2 linked regions of the Tamandua tetradactyla genome follow. The protein of the gene in region 2 purifies or fractionates together with the protein of the main gene of each other region. This does not show direct contact. Links are inferred from orthologs where the notes say so. Each region holds a gene or a part of one and is shown on either strand. Other genes may lie near its edges.

What was found.
Region 1: the proteins of RUNX2 (region 2) and SMAD1 purify together in Homo sapiens (affinity purification with western blotting; 3 studies listed by BioGRID). This does not show direct contact. The link is inferred for Tamandua tetradactyla from reciprocal best matches to the Homo sapiens genes RUNX2 and SMAD1.

The regions. Positions count from the first base shown.
Region 1 is NC_135348.1:22,612,641-22,620,031, forward strand, and holds the start of SMAD1 (mothers against decapentaplegic homolog 1), read right to left. Parts: upstream 3,057-7,391; 5' UTR 2,781-3,056; intron 2,270-2,780; exon of another isoform or gene 1,587-2,269; intron 1-1,586. UniProt on the Homo sapiens protein: Transcriptional modulator that plays a role in various cellular processes, including embryonic development, cell differentiation, and tissue homeostasis.
Region 2 is NC_135331.1:103,056,379-103,063,544, forward strand, and holds the start of RUNX2 (runt-related transcription factor 2), read left to right. Parts: upstream 1-4,104; 5' UTR 4,105-4,217; exon of another isoform or gene 4,218-4,256; intron 4,257-4,419; 5' UTR 4,420-4,484; coding exon 4,485-4,542; intron 4,543-7,166. UniProt on the Homo sapiens protein: Transcription factor involved in osteoblastic differentiation and skeletal morphogenesis. Essential for the maturation of osteoblasts and both intramembranous and endochondral ossification.

The sequences.
Region 1 (7,391 bases), on a different chromosome or scaffold from region 2:
AGCACAATTCAGCACAGAGATCAGAGCGGCAAAGACGGTTACCAGCACCCTCAAAGCATTTCTTTACTGCCAAATGTAAAGCTACATTTACCTTTACAAATGCAAAGCTACACTACAAACTGAACATCTCTGCTTTTATCTTCAATTTTTTTCAGAAACTCAAGAGTTCTGTAAGCCTTTCCCTATTTCAGAAACACTAATGTCTTGGTCACGTAGGCCTTTTCACTATAAACAAAATTCACGTACCACCCATATCTGAAGTATAATGCCAGACTCCTGCTTAGCTGCCCCTGTAATACGGTTTAATTATGATGACTGAACTAATAGGCTGACATCATAGACTTTTACAGGCTGACCCCATGTCATTCTGATGTATCATTTTGCACCAGTTCAGTGCTGTAAATCAATTTAAGATCTCAAGCAGGTTGAAAAGGCTGGTAATGATGCTTTCTCTGCTGTCTCTTGAGACTCTACATTATACACAACTTACATTATTTATAAAGCCTCAATGATGCCTCCATTAGCCTTTAAGACTACACAAATGAGATCTTTTGTACACACATGACTTGGCCTTGATTATGTAGACTACTGCAGCTTAAACATGCTCTTCTAAGTAGACTCAAGTTTATTCCTTTTCCAATCTACCAAGTTATTAAATTTTATTTTTAACCCCGAATTACTAGAAATCAAAATTAGAAACTGAAATTTAATTTTTAACTAATAAATGCATTTAGGAAAATAAGACTTATTTAACGTTTTATCTGGTCCTTGTAAAAAAAAATTATTTGAATTCCAAAAAGCGTTAAGACATTAACGTTTTTAATTGCCTAAAATGTGTCACTTCTCTAAAATGCAAAAGTCATCAGCTCTTCGAGGGTATAAAACCAAAGAACACTGCAAAAGGAAAAATGTATTTAGTTACATACCTATGGTCAGAGGGGTCAAAACTAAATCAAGGACAAATCCCTACCCTCAGAGGAAACCCGATACCATCTGGAGCCTCTAGAGGATCACCCACCTCCAGAAAATCATCTCACAACCCTGGTTACAGTTTCCCAAGAATTGCAATATCACACAAATGGTCACTGCCTGCACAGAAATATCAAATAACTGCAAATGGAAAAGAAGGAGGGCGAGGGAGGACAAAAACTTCAATCACTACAGGATATTTAGGTCTTGCACTAGAATAACACAACACTGATGCAAACACATTTACACCCGTCGAAACTGCTGGGGCATGTCAAACGCTGAAGCAAAACTTTGGTTCTGCCTCGATTCCTTTAACCAGTGATTCCACCATAGCTCACCTACCTCCATTAAAATTTAAAGTGGTCATTATAAACAAGACGAAAAATCAACACAGGCAGAAAACAGTTTTCTCACTGTCTTACTGAAGCGTTACCCACGACGATTAGAACAAGAGATGAAATAAAGGCATTCTGTGGTTTAGCAGCTGAGTCTCGGCAAAAGGAAGACAACTTCCCATCAGGCAACTTCTATGTCATTCCACGTACTCTGAAACTTCATACACAATGGAAAGCAAAGAACACGAGTGGAAAGAAAAGGCTGGTTGTCACAGCACTCACGAAAATGAAGCTTTCCTCAGGATACGATTCTGAGACCGACCACAATTTTCAGATGGAAGTGCTCACTGGTTATCTTGCACAGTGTATTTAAAAATCGCATGCGCCTCCAAATAAACAAAAGCCGCAGCGACTGCAGCAGTAGCATTCGGCAGGCATTCGTTCCTCCTCCCTTCCCTAAGTACAGCAAAGAAACGCTCTCCCTTTAAGCCTTCATATATAATAAGCAACTAGAAAAACAAGCCCACGTCTGTCTCTCTCACACCTACCACCCCCACCACCCTACAGAAACAATCCCGAGAAATGCTAACAAAGACAGGGAGCAGAGAAAATGAACAGTTGTTCAACAACGAACTCACAAATTCACATGCAGTGAGGCAATCGAATCCGGTAAAGGGAAAGGAATGAGACGACACTTGAAGACTCAGGGGGTGTAGGCGGAAGAGAAAAAAAAAGAGAGAGAGAAAGAAAATTCACGCGCCGCCAAACCTCTGAATAAATCCGAGGGAACGTCGGTGCGAACTTTCCTTGACCTCGACCCCAAAGTGGCTTGTAGGGGCAGAGGAGGCAACACGTCCGGGATGCGGAGGAGCCGGGAGCACCGGGTGTCCTCCCCCTCCAGACCCGCTCCGCGAGGCGCCCAATGCGTAAAGGGCAACGCCGGCGTCTGTCCCCAAACTCCCGCACGGGTCGCCCCGGCCGGCGCGGGACACAATGGGCCCGCGGGCCGCGCGGACGGCCTCGGCCCGGTTGCAGAAAGGGAAAGAGAAACCGGGAGCAGGCGCAGGGGGAGGGCGCCCGCAGAGGACTTGCAGGGCCGGCGGCGATGCAGGGGGGCCGAAGAACAGCGGTTTCCCCACCGCAGACCCAACAAAGACGCGAGGTGAACCCCAGGCGAACCCTGCCCCGCCGGCTGGGCGCGAAGGGAAGAGGAGGTGGCAGGTTAGCTCCTGAGAGCGGCCAGGAGGCGCCATCATGGGAGGAGAGAGGAGCAGGCTTCCCCGGTCCGCCCCACGCCGGGAAGAGCCCCTCGGACTCCTCAGCCCGCGCCGCCGGCCCCGCACGACCGCAGTGGCCCCGGAGGGCCCGCGCCTGTTGCCGCAGAGGCGGCGGCCGCGCTGAGAAAGCCCAGGGCGCAGAGAGGAGGGCGGGGACGCGGTAAAGAGAAAAGTTGGGTCCGGGTCTGTTTCGTTTTACCGAGTTGGCGGCGCGCCCGTTGTCGCGGGCGCACGAGTGGCCGGACGAACGGGATCCCCGCGGCCCCGGGCCGGCCGGCCGGGCTCTGCGCCGCGCTCCGCACGCAGGCTCCCTCCCAGCGAGCGCCTCGGCCTGGGCTGGGCAGCTCGGCCTCTCCTTCCTCCGCCCGCTCGTTCGCGGAGCCTGGATTGATCTGGTCGCGCTGGCGTCAGGGAGTCGGAGCCGCCCAGCCTCCACCCCTCGGCTGCCAATACCCGGCGAACTCGCCCGCCTGCCCGCTCGCTCGCTCACTCGCTCACACGCGCACCCGCGCGCCACCGCCGCCGCTGCCGCCGAGCGACCAGGGATCCTCTCCAAATTCCCCGCCGAGCCCCACGCGAGCGCAGCGCCTCCCGGGCCCGCGGACGCGGCTGGGGAGCAGTCGGAGCGACTTACTCCGCCCCCAGCCGCACGCCCCCGTTATTCCTGGGAGAGAAAACAGTGTATCCTGCAGGGCCTTCCTAACCTGCCTCCTTCAGTCCTGGTGGAGCGGACGTGGGGCATTAGCTGCAAGTGAAGTTCGGTACTCCCTGTGTTTACTTTCTCAAATGTGCATTAACCCATCCAACCGCGCCCACCGAGCTGCTCTAAAACGTGGACAGCATTTTTGACAAGTCTTTCCAGACATTTTTCACAGCCCTTCTCTCACTCCCTAGTGATTTGCTGGCCCCTAGAAGTTGCACTGTACCCAGAACTGAAGAGCCAAGTAACTATCCATGTGCTTACATCAAACCCTAAATCAAACGTTTTGTGCCAATTGGAGATCCAATGATTGGAATAGGTAACTTCGTTGCTCCAAATAATGACAGATGCCACAAAAGAGTTCTAAACGCTAAATGGTCACTTTGAAAATCTTTTAGTTGACGCTAACCCCAAAAACAAAAATAAAGAAGTTCTTATCGTCTTTATCTGCATAGACATTGAAAATAGCATTTCGTAAGTCAGTTTTTCTTTTGGCAAACTCTCTGGATGCTGCCATGAAATTTTGGGTAATTACCAGAATGTTGAGTTATGCTTAGATGAGAATAATTATTCTGAATAATTTCACATGGACCAAAAGAATTGTTACCACCTTCGTAATATAAAGGAAATACAACAAGCATCATAAATTAATGGTAGTCTTCTATTGCTCGTGTACCCTTACAAAGTTTTTAATTATTTTTAAATTCATTTTCAATTCTTAATTCTTAGTTACTTATTATTTCTGCATTCCATTTTTAATTATTCAAAGGAAATGCAACAAATTCCATAAAGCTTGTAAAATGCTGTTTATAAATTATGTATCAGAATATTAAATTCCTTTCTTTGTTAAAGTATTACTAGGCAATTATTGGACCTCCTCTTATTTTCCCTATCAGTAGGAATTATTCTCTCTATCAGTAGAGCTGATCCCTCTGCTCACTGGAAGAACAACCAAAGTGAACATTATTATGTCCTTGTCAGATCAGCTCACTCCTGGGCTCACTCAAAACCCTTCTTTGATAAATAAATAGTGGTATATCTATGCAATGGAATATTATTCAGCCGTAAAAAGGAATGACGTATGGATGCATTCTGCAAAATGGATGAACCTTGGGAACATGCTAAGTAAAATAAGCCACTCACAAGACCACATGGTGTATAATTCTGTTCATATGAAATGTGCAAAATTGACATGTTTATAGCAACAGAAAGTACACTGGTGGTTGCCTAAGGCCGGTGGGTTAGAGGCTTGGGAAGTGATAGCTAAAGGGTATGGGGTTTATTTTAGGGGTGATAAAAATATATGGATGCACAAGTCTGTAAATACACTAAAAGCCATTGGACTTTACCCTTTAAATGGGTAAATCATGTTATGTGAATTGTATTTCAATAAAGCTGTTTTTTAAAAAAAAAAGACATGACAACTAATACAGTGTACCATCCTTGATTGGATCCTGGATTGGGGGAAAATTTATAAAATGACTTTTTAAAGCTAATGATTTTTTTTAACCTATACTGACCTTTCATGGCATAGTGCTAATGGGCCCAAATAATAACTATTAATATTATGCATGCTAGGAAATTTGACTTTGCCCTTTGCACAGTTTTTTTTCTTTAAATGGTAATAAAAACCCAGGTACCTTTTTAAAAGGTACATTATTGGGACAATTATGAAAACCTAAATGTGGGTTGTATATAGGCAAACCTCAGAGATGCTGCGATTTCAGTTCAGACGACTACAATAAAGCGATTATCACAATAAAGCAAGTCACATGAATATTTTGTTTTCTCAGTGCATTCGAAGTTATGTTCACACAATACTTTGGTCTAGTAAGTGTGCAATTGTATTTTGTCTAAAAAAAAAAACTGTGCATAGTATAACTAAAAAATACTTTATAGCTAAAAAGTACTAACCGTCATCTGAGCCTTTAGCAAGTTGTAATCTTTTTGCTGATGGAAGGTCTTGCCTTGATGTTGATGGCTGTTGACTGCTCAGGGTGGTTGCTGACGAATGGAGTGGCTGTAGAATTTCTTAAAACAGGCAACAATAAAGTTTGTTGTATCGACTGACTCTTCCTTTCACAAGATTTCTTTATAGCCTATGACAGCGTTTGACAGTATTTTGCCCACAGAACTTCTTTCAAAATGGGAATCAATCTTCTCAAATCTTGGCTCTAAGCTTATGTAATATTCTAAATCTTTTGTTTTCATTTCAACCATGTTCTCAGCATCTTCACCCAGGGTAGGTTCCATCTCAAGAACCACTTTCGTTGCTCATCCATAAGAAGCAACGTTTCATCTGTTCAAGTTTCATCATGAGAGTGTAGCGATTTAGTCACAATTTAGATGAATACACATATTTGTATTGTGTATTGATCATTTTTAGAACATGTGCAATCAGTCCAGAAAAAGAAATAAAAAGAAAAGAGAAAAAACTCAAACAGCCCATACCCCTTACTGCTCCCTCTCATTGACCACTTCTATTCATTGAAGGATTATTAACATCTAATTTCAAGATTGTTGCATTTTAGGGAATGAGGAGGCCTGATGTGAGGGAGGGAGGTGGGGGAAGAGCCAGTCAGTGGAGCAATCAACACACAGCATCTTCAAGCACCACTTCTAACTCTAGTTCTCTTGCTGTTTCCACAGCATCTGCAGTTACTTCCTCCACTGAAATCTTGAATCCCTCAAAGTCATCCCTAAAGGTTGGAATCAACTTCTTCCAAACTCCTGTTCTTGTTGATATTTTGACCTCCTCCCATGAATCGCAAATGTTCTTAATGGCATCCAGAATGGTGAATCCTTTCCAGGAGGTTTTTGGTGGCCTTTGCCCAGATCCATCAGCACAGTCCCTATCTATAGCAGCTATAGCCTTATGAAATGTATTTCTTAAATAATAAGGACTTAAAAATCAAAATGACTCCTAAATCCATGGACTACAGACAGATGTTATGTTAGCAGGCATGAAAGCATTCATCTCATTGGGCATCTCCATCAAAGCTCTTGGATGACCAGGGGCATTTTCAATGAGCAGTACTATTTTGAAAGGAATATTTTTTTCCTAAGCAATAGGTCTCAACAGTAGGCTTAAGATATTCAGTAATTCATGTTGTAAACAGATGTGGTATCATCCAGGCTTTGTTCTTCCATTTATAGAGCACTGGCAGAGTAGATTTAACATAATTCTTAAAGCTGCTAGGATTTTCAGAATGGTCAATGAGCACTGGCTTCAATTTAACATTAGCCCCTAACAAGAGAGTCAGCCTGTCCTATGAAACTTTGAAACCAGCCATTGAATTCTTCTCTCTAACTATGAAAGCCCTTGATGGCATCTTCTTCCAATAGAAGGCTGTTTCATCTACATTGAAAATGTGTGGTTTAGTGTAGCCACCTTCCTCAGTGATCTTAGCTAGATCTTCTGGATAACTTGCTGTAGGCTCTAAATAAGCACTTGCTGCTTTTTACCTTGCACTTTGATGTTGCAGAAACAGCTTCATTCCTTAAACCTCATGAACCAACCTCTGCTAACTTCAAACGTCTCTTCTACAGTTTTCTCACCTCTCTCAGCCTTCCTAAAATTGAAGAGGTTAGGGCCTTGCTCTGGGTTAGATTTTGACTTAAAAAAATGTTATAGCTAGTTTGATCTTCTATCCAGATTGCTAAAACTTTCTCCACATCAGTAATGACTGTTTCACTTTCTTATCATTCATGTGTTCACTGGAGTAGCACTTTTAATTTCCTTCAAGAACTTTTCCTTTGCATTCACAACTTGGCTAACTGTTTGACACAAGAAACCTAGCTTTTAACCTGTTTCAGCTTTCAACACGCCTTCCTTACTAAGCTTAATCATTTCTAGCTTTTCATTTAAATTAAGAGATGCGGGACTCTTCCTTTCACTTGAACACTTAGAAGCCATTGGGGAAGGGTTATTTTTTTAACAAATATTTTTATTGACAAATCTTCACACACATACAGTCTATACATGGTGTGCAATCAATGGCTCACAATAGCATCACATATTTGTGTATTCACCACCTTGATCATTTTTAGAACATTTGCATCACTCCAGAAAAAGAAATAAAAAGAAAAGAGAAAGAACTCATACAGCCC
Region 2 (7,166 bases):
GGTATAATTTATCAGAAATAACAATGATTTGCGATAAATGTTACAAGATTCAAACCTGCTAGGTATTCATTAGTGAGGATTAATATCAATATTCCCTAAGGAAACTTTAAGAATCTACTTTGAGACTTTATAAATGTCAAAACAGAGAAAGCGAAACCAAAAAACCTGAAGTACAGTGAGGGGTAGAGAGGGAGAGACACGGAGGAGAAGGAGAAGGGGGTGGGACTGGGGGGTAGAGAGAGAGAGGAGAAAGAGTTTATTATTTTCAATGTCCACATTATCTCACATTTAGACAGGTAGCTGCTAATACAAACCAAGCCAAATTGTTCAAACAATCAAGGAATTGGTATTGCTTTGGGTTCTTACATAATTCAAATGAAACAAACTAAAAAAACAAACAAACAAACAACTTACAGAAAGTACCACAAACTGCTACCATACACACACCCACACATATGCAAATAGTATATACACAGACATATACCCCATAAAAACAAGGAAATGGAACTAATCTCTCCTAATCAAACATAGTTTAAAATATTAATGAAACTATAAATATTTACTAATACAAAAAACTTTAAATCATTACTATAAGGGCCAGTAAATGCTATATAAGCTTGAACAGCTATACACAGGTCAAATTTCAAAAAACAAATTGTCACATACTAAATGGAAACGATATATATGAAAGTTCTTTGCTAAAGCCTCATACTCTGTGAGAACATTTTAAGCCAGATTAGCACATCTACAGTTTATAAAATTCTAACATCAAGTTTTGCTTCTATTCTTTACAAGTAACAGCAAACAGGCCTGCAAAGCAATCCTAAAAAAAAATTAAATAAAAACAAAGAAATGAGAAACTAAAGCTTCTCTATTAAAATATTACAATTAGTTCAGAAAATAACATATAATTCAAAAGGCAACAATGAAGGTATGTGCAGCATTGAAAACTGTTCATAGTGTTTATTTTTTCTAAATGTTTTGATATTTTAATAAGTTCAACCCAGTCTAACAAATTTTATTTGCACAAGGTAATGGGAAAGCAAGATACTAACTTCTTCACTTTTTGCAATTGACTTCAGGTTCAAAGGTATATTTCACTTCTGTGGCATTAAAGTACTTGATTTATACAGTAGCCTTAAATTTGCTACTTACTTAAACATAGCAGGCACTGACATATCCCAAAAAGGATGAAGTTTGAGGGTTTTAAAAGAAAGTGGGGGTAAAAAAGCTGAGGTTTTCATTTCTGATGGTATAAATCTATAATCAAGAGCTTTATTTGTACAGGAACTTTAATGAATCAGTCTCTCTTAATCACATGTAGTAAGCTATTTCTAATGAAACAAACTGTCAGTTATTAAATGCATACCAGTTATACTTTTTTTTAAAATTTTTAATGCAAAGTGACAGTTGGGCACCAAAGAGTATATATTTTCGACTTAGAAGAAAAATACATGTGAAAAATAAATATACAGACTTTAAAGCATATGATTTCACTATCTTTCTGCTGCCAAACTTTGATAGGCCTCATACAGGACAGAAAGGAAAGGGCACACTTAACAATATCTACTGAACTCTTTTGCAATAGCAATGATGACTCTGACCCAAAGAATTATGTGCAGGAGGATAACCTGCAAAAAGAGAATAAGCAGTTAGAAGATACAAAGATGTTGAAAATTACTCGAAGTCATATAAGGTCAATGAGGGGTGGGCAGAGGAGCAAGGCATTCATAATAAAAAAAAAAAGTTTTAAGAGAATATTCAGCAAAAAGCTGGGTTGTCAGAATATCAGAGGACCCTGATGCAAAACTACAAAACTGATTCTAAGAGAAGGAAATCATTTACTCACCATACTATAACAGCTACTTAATTTTTTTAAGTCTCCTAATTCTGCTGCTATTTTATGCACAGAAGAATCCTATGTTTGGAAATTACACAAATTGCATGGAAAAAAACGCACCTTTTAATATACTTTGCAATTAAATATATCGATCAACCAGCACACTTTTTTTTCCAATGGGCAGGCACCAGGAATCGAACCCCAGCACACCTTCTTTATGAACAGAATAAGTGAATAATTTCTTTTCTCCCTTTTGCATGAATAAGTGCATGTTTAATCAAAGTTGTTTTCTTTTAACTTTTCAGCGTGAAATCTGTTTACACACACAGTAAAGCATGACAAATCTACATTTAAAATAAAACATCAAAAGGAATTTCTGTTTGGGCGGGCAACAGTGGCTCAGTGGCAGAGTTCTCGGCTGCCATGCCGGAGACCCAGGTTCGATTCCCACAGCCTGCCCAAGTAAAAAAAAAAAAAGGAATTTCTGGTTATCACTAAAAGTTTATTATGAAAACCTTACAGACATTTCAATAATTAAGGATTAAAATCAATCTGTGTTTTCCCAATGCATTCTGAACAAATCAAAATTCTTTTAAAGAAAATTTTTAACATGTTTGTACAGTTATCTCTAATATAAAACAACAGCATATAATGAATTGTGTTAGGAATACAATATTTTAGCTGAAACACCCTTTCAGAGAGTTTCCCCAGCTTTTACTATGTTATACACCTAAAAAAATGTTTTGTAAATCACAGTCTCCACCCACCCTCTCAGTCATTTACTTCAATGCCACTCCCAGTTACTATCATACTAGCAAGAAGCCTAAGACATGCAACTTCAGTGGCATGGATAAATGACAAAAAATGTCTAGAAAATTGGATTGTTCAGCTTTATAATTTTTGTTGAAAAATGCCCCATCACTTACAACTGATGAAATCAGGAAGCCCTATTCATAAGTATAAAAATCATTGATATATAATCATCCTAATAAGAAAATGAAAATGAGTTCTATACATATGTCCAAACGGGCAAAAAACATCTCAAATATGTTTTCAATTTTTTTCAGGATCAAAATTAGCAAACTGAGATGACTAGCATACTCTGTCTGTGTGCATTATTTTTTACTACATACCTTTTTGTAATTTATTTCAAAGCTTCCATTATAAACAAAAAATACATTTTCCATTAACCCACTCCATCCTGAACTTACACAATCTAAATTACAACATATTTTATTTAATATGTTTATAAGGTATTTAAGATGTCTTATCAAAGACTCTGTCAAAGTTAATAGCCAAATAAACTATTTAAAGAATTATACAACTGAACACATTTCCTTGAAAGTTAAGAATTATTACAATCATAAAGGAAAAGAAGACATCCACTAAACTGCTGTAATTCTTGCCATTCATTTGTATAAGACCCTCAAACTAGTCATAACATAAAAGTTATACATTATAAAAGATATAAAAAATACTTTAAATCTTTATTGTAGGACCTGCTATCTAACACTGATAATACATAAACTAGAGACATGATTTAATATTTGTACAAGAATCCCCAGACTAACACTTTCATGACAGCCAATTACAGTCCAGCCCAACAAGCAGTTTGCCACCAGACCTTAAGGTAAATTTTTTTACAATGAATTACAGGTTCACAAGTTTAAAAAGACAAGAAAAAGAAAAACAGAAGAACTCTAGCCATCCAGCAAATATGAAGCAGACCCCAGAACGTGATACAACCCAAAGATGTAAATTACTGTAAATCATCACTGTTGTTCAGAATTTCACACAGCCACTTGACCCAATTTTGCTCATTTTTCCATAGACACAATAATGAACTAAAAGAAAGAGGCAAAAGAAAAAAAAAAAGGAGGGGGGGAATGGGGGTGGTGACAGAAAGGAAAGACCTTAACTGCAGACTTCAGTTCTACAAATGCTTAACCTTCAGGAGTTTGGGCTCCTTCAGCATTTGTATTCTATCCAAATCCTCATGAGTCACAAAAATTAAAAAGCTATATCCTTTTGGATGCCAGGAAGGGCCTTACCACAAGCCTTTTGTCAGAGAAAGAGAGAGAGAGAGAGAGGGAGAGCAAGAGCAAGGGGGAAAAGCCACAGTGGTAGGCAGTCCCACTTTACTTTGAGTACTGTGAGGTCACAAACCACATGATTCTGTCTCTCCAGTAATAGTGCTTGGAAAAAAAGGAGTTTTAAAGCTTTTGCTTTTTTGGATTGTGTGAATGCTTCATTCGCCTCACAAACAACCACAGAACCACAAGTGCGGTGCAAACTTTCTCCAGGAGGACAGCAAGAAGTCTCTGGTTTTTAAATGGTTAATCTCCGCAGGTCACTACCAGCCACCGAGACCAACAGAGTCAGTGAGTGCTCTCTAACCACAGTCTATGCAGTAATAGTAGGTCCTTCAAATATTTGCTCATTCTTTTTGTTTTGTTTCCCTGCTTTTCACATGTTACCAGCTACATAATTTTTTGACAGAAAAAAATAAATATAAAGTCTATGTACTCCAGGCATATTGTAAAACTAAAACAAGGTTTGGGTATGGTTTGTATTTCCAGTTTAAGGCTGCAAGCAGTATTAACAACAGAGGGTACAAGTTCTATCTGAAAAAAAAGGAGGGACTATGGCATCAAACAGCCTCTTCAGCACAGTGACACCATGTCAGCAAAACTTCTTTTGGGGTAAGTGTTATCATTTTTAAAATCCTATAAGAGATGAACCTGTTAAACATAAATGTATGTTTCTTAGATAAATTGCTAGCTTTTCAGGATAACAGTATATTAAAGATATTAACAATAATACTATTCTGTTGAAGTAAAAAATTGAAAATGAAATTGATGTACATATTTGTATATGGCATCTGTATTCTCTGAATAACTTGAAATGGACAAAAATTAATCATTTTTTATTAATCAAAATGTTTTGGGGGCTATAGAAATAAGAATGCTAAAACAGTAAAAGAAACAGCTTAATATTCTCATTTAACCCTCTCTGCAATAAAATGAAGCACGAAATTAATCAAAGTATTATAAATTATTGACTCCAGAAGCTCGCAATATTTGAGCAAAAACTTCAAAATGGAAGCAATCTTACAAAATAACCGAGCACAGATTTATCCCAACATTATGCTCTACTATGTAAAACAGAGAAAGAAATAAACGTACAATACAGTCAGTATTTGAACCAGCTCAACTAAAAGAACTCTATTTATAATTTTAAACTGAGTAAGATATCTGCACAAGTTTGTTTCTAAACAACTATATAACTGAACCATACATTCAATGAAAATAAAATTGCACTAAGTATATCATAGCCATTTTTAAAAGCTCTTTATAGTTGCCTAGGATATTAAGTTTACAGAAGTCTCTAAAAACTAAAATGGAACTGTATTTTCCTATATAATTTTAATTTTACATTTACACTGTTATCCATACGTAGAATTGTTATAAACACATAGCAAATACTGAAACTTCTAAGATTCTTTTAGTAACATTCTTAGACCTACCAAAATGAATAGCATTTTATTTCATGAAAAATAAAGCTCTATAAGAATACTCTGCATGATTTTAAAGAGCCATGCTTATTAATTTTGCTGGACTTTTAAAAGAAAACAGAAACAATACAGTCTCTTAATTAATTTCAAGTTAGTATTGATATAGATAAGTAAACTACTCCAACCTTCACTAGTTGACATAGTATCACAGCAAAATAGCTAAACACTTACAATGTTTTCTTTATGATGTCCAACATGTTCCAAATACAAAGCAAGTTTTGAAAATATCCTGTTTATCCTTTAAAACAAATCCTTTTGCTGTGTATACCTCTGTAACTTACAACTATTGATTGGAGTTTCCTTTACTCCTCCTCCTCCACACATTTTAACTGGCTAATACTTGAGAATCAGTCTTAGTTTAGGTCAAATAGAAATAATTAAACCTGAAGGGGGGGGAGTTTCACTTAAGGGATGAGGAAATATACTCTATATTTTGCAAAAAAAATCTAAAATTATTGTAGTGGCTCCCTCAATAGCTGTAAGCGAGCTCCCTCAGCAATATAATAATCACAGATTGTTTTTAAAACTTCATGGTGGGTAATTAAGCATTAGTCTAAAAATTTCTGAGTTAAGAAAGTACAACAAATATAACTAGACTGTATTATACCCCATATTATAATTACAGCTTATGCATGCGAACTTTTGCTGTTACTACCTAAGAGATGAGGAAAAAAAGCTGTTTAAAATGATTGTTAGTAGAGGGATAACTTGAACAGGTACATTAAGCAGTTAAGTTACTCTTTAACAATATTACTCTTTTGCAAAAATACATTTCTAACCAGATGAGGAAATAACACAAGCTTGAAGGAAATACTTTAGCATTGGAAGTAAAGCTATTAATATTGGCACAAACGGTATGTTAAAATGCTCCTTATTTGATCATATCAGAGGTTTTATATTTCCCTGATGTCCTTAATAACCATTTCTAGTTAAGATTTCTGAAACTTGACCAAGTTTCTATACAAGGAATAATTGTGAAATAAGCAGATAAAAATCACCTTCTATTGCATGTCATATTTTTAATTAGACATTATAACTAATTCTTCCTCTTCTGAAAAGTGGATTTCACACCCTCCTAACCCCTAAACCCCTCCATAGCATCTTAGAGCCTAAACAGAGAACTTAATATGAGCCCCCTACTTCAACCTAATTACAGGTGGGCAGTGGACAGCGTATCTATGTTATCATCATACTGCAAATATTTCCTCATTCTATAGTCTAATCAAAGTCTAAAACATCACTCAGGCTTTAAATTCTAAAATGAGGATTATAAGCACCAACTAATGCAGTATCCGAAGTATGTGCCCCAAACTTGTGGAATAGCTAAAAAGAAAGTTAAAGGCTTTCCTAGGTGAGGAACAAACCACATGTTAACTGACTGTCTCTCCTCAAATATGAGTGAAAAATGTGTGTGTGTGCGTGTGTGTGTTTGTATGTGTATGAAAGAGAGTGATTCTGTCTCAGTGTTCTTTTCAGAATACCATTTGCCTTGAATTAATCAAGAAATTTTCAAAATCTGTACTCAAAATCTTTTTTCATAAATAAAGCATGTTGAAAATTACAGATGTGACTCATGAAGCATCATATAAATAAAAATTTATTTATGAAAATACAACGGCTAACTGATTAAATTTCTACATGAAACTTTTGCAACTGACCTGAGCAAATGACTGAATATAATGTATGAACCCCAATTTCCAAAACAATAGTTATGGTCCATATAATGATAATTTTACAGTTTCAAGCTCTAAT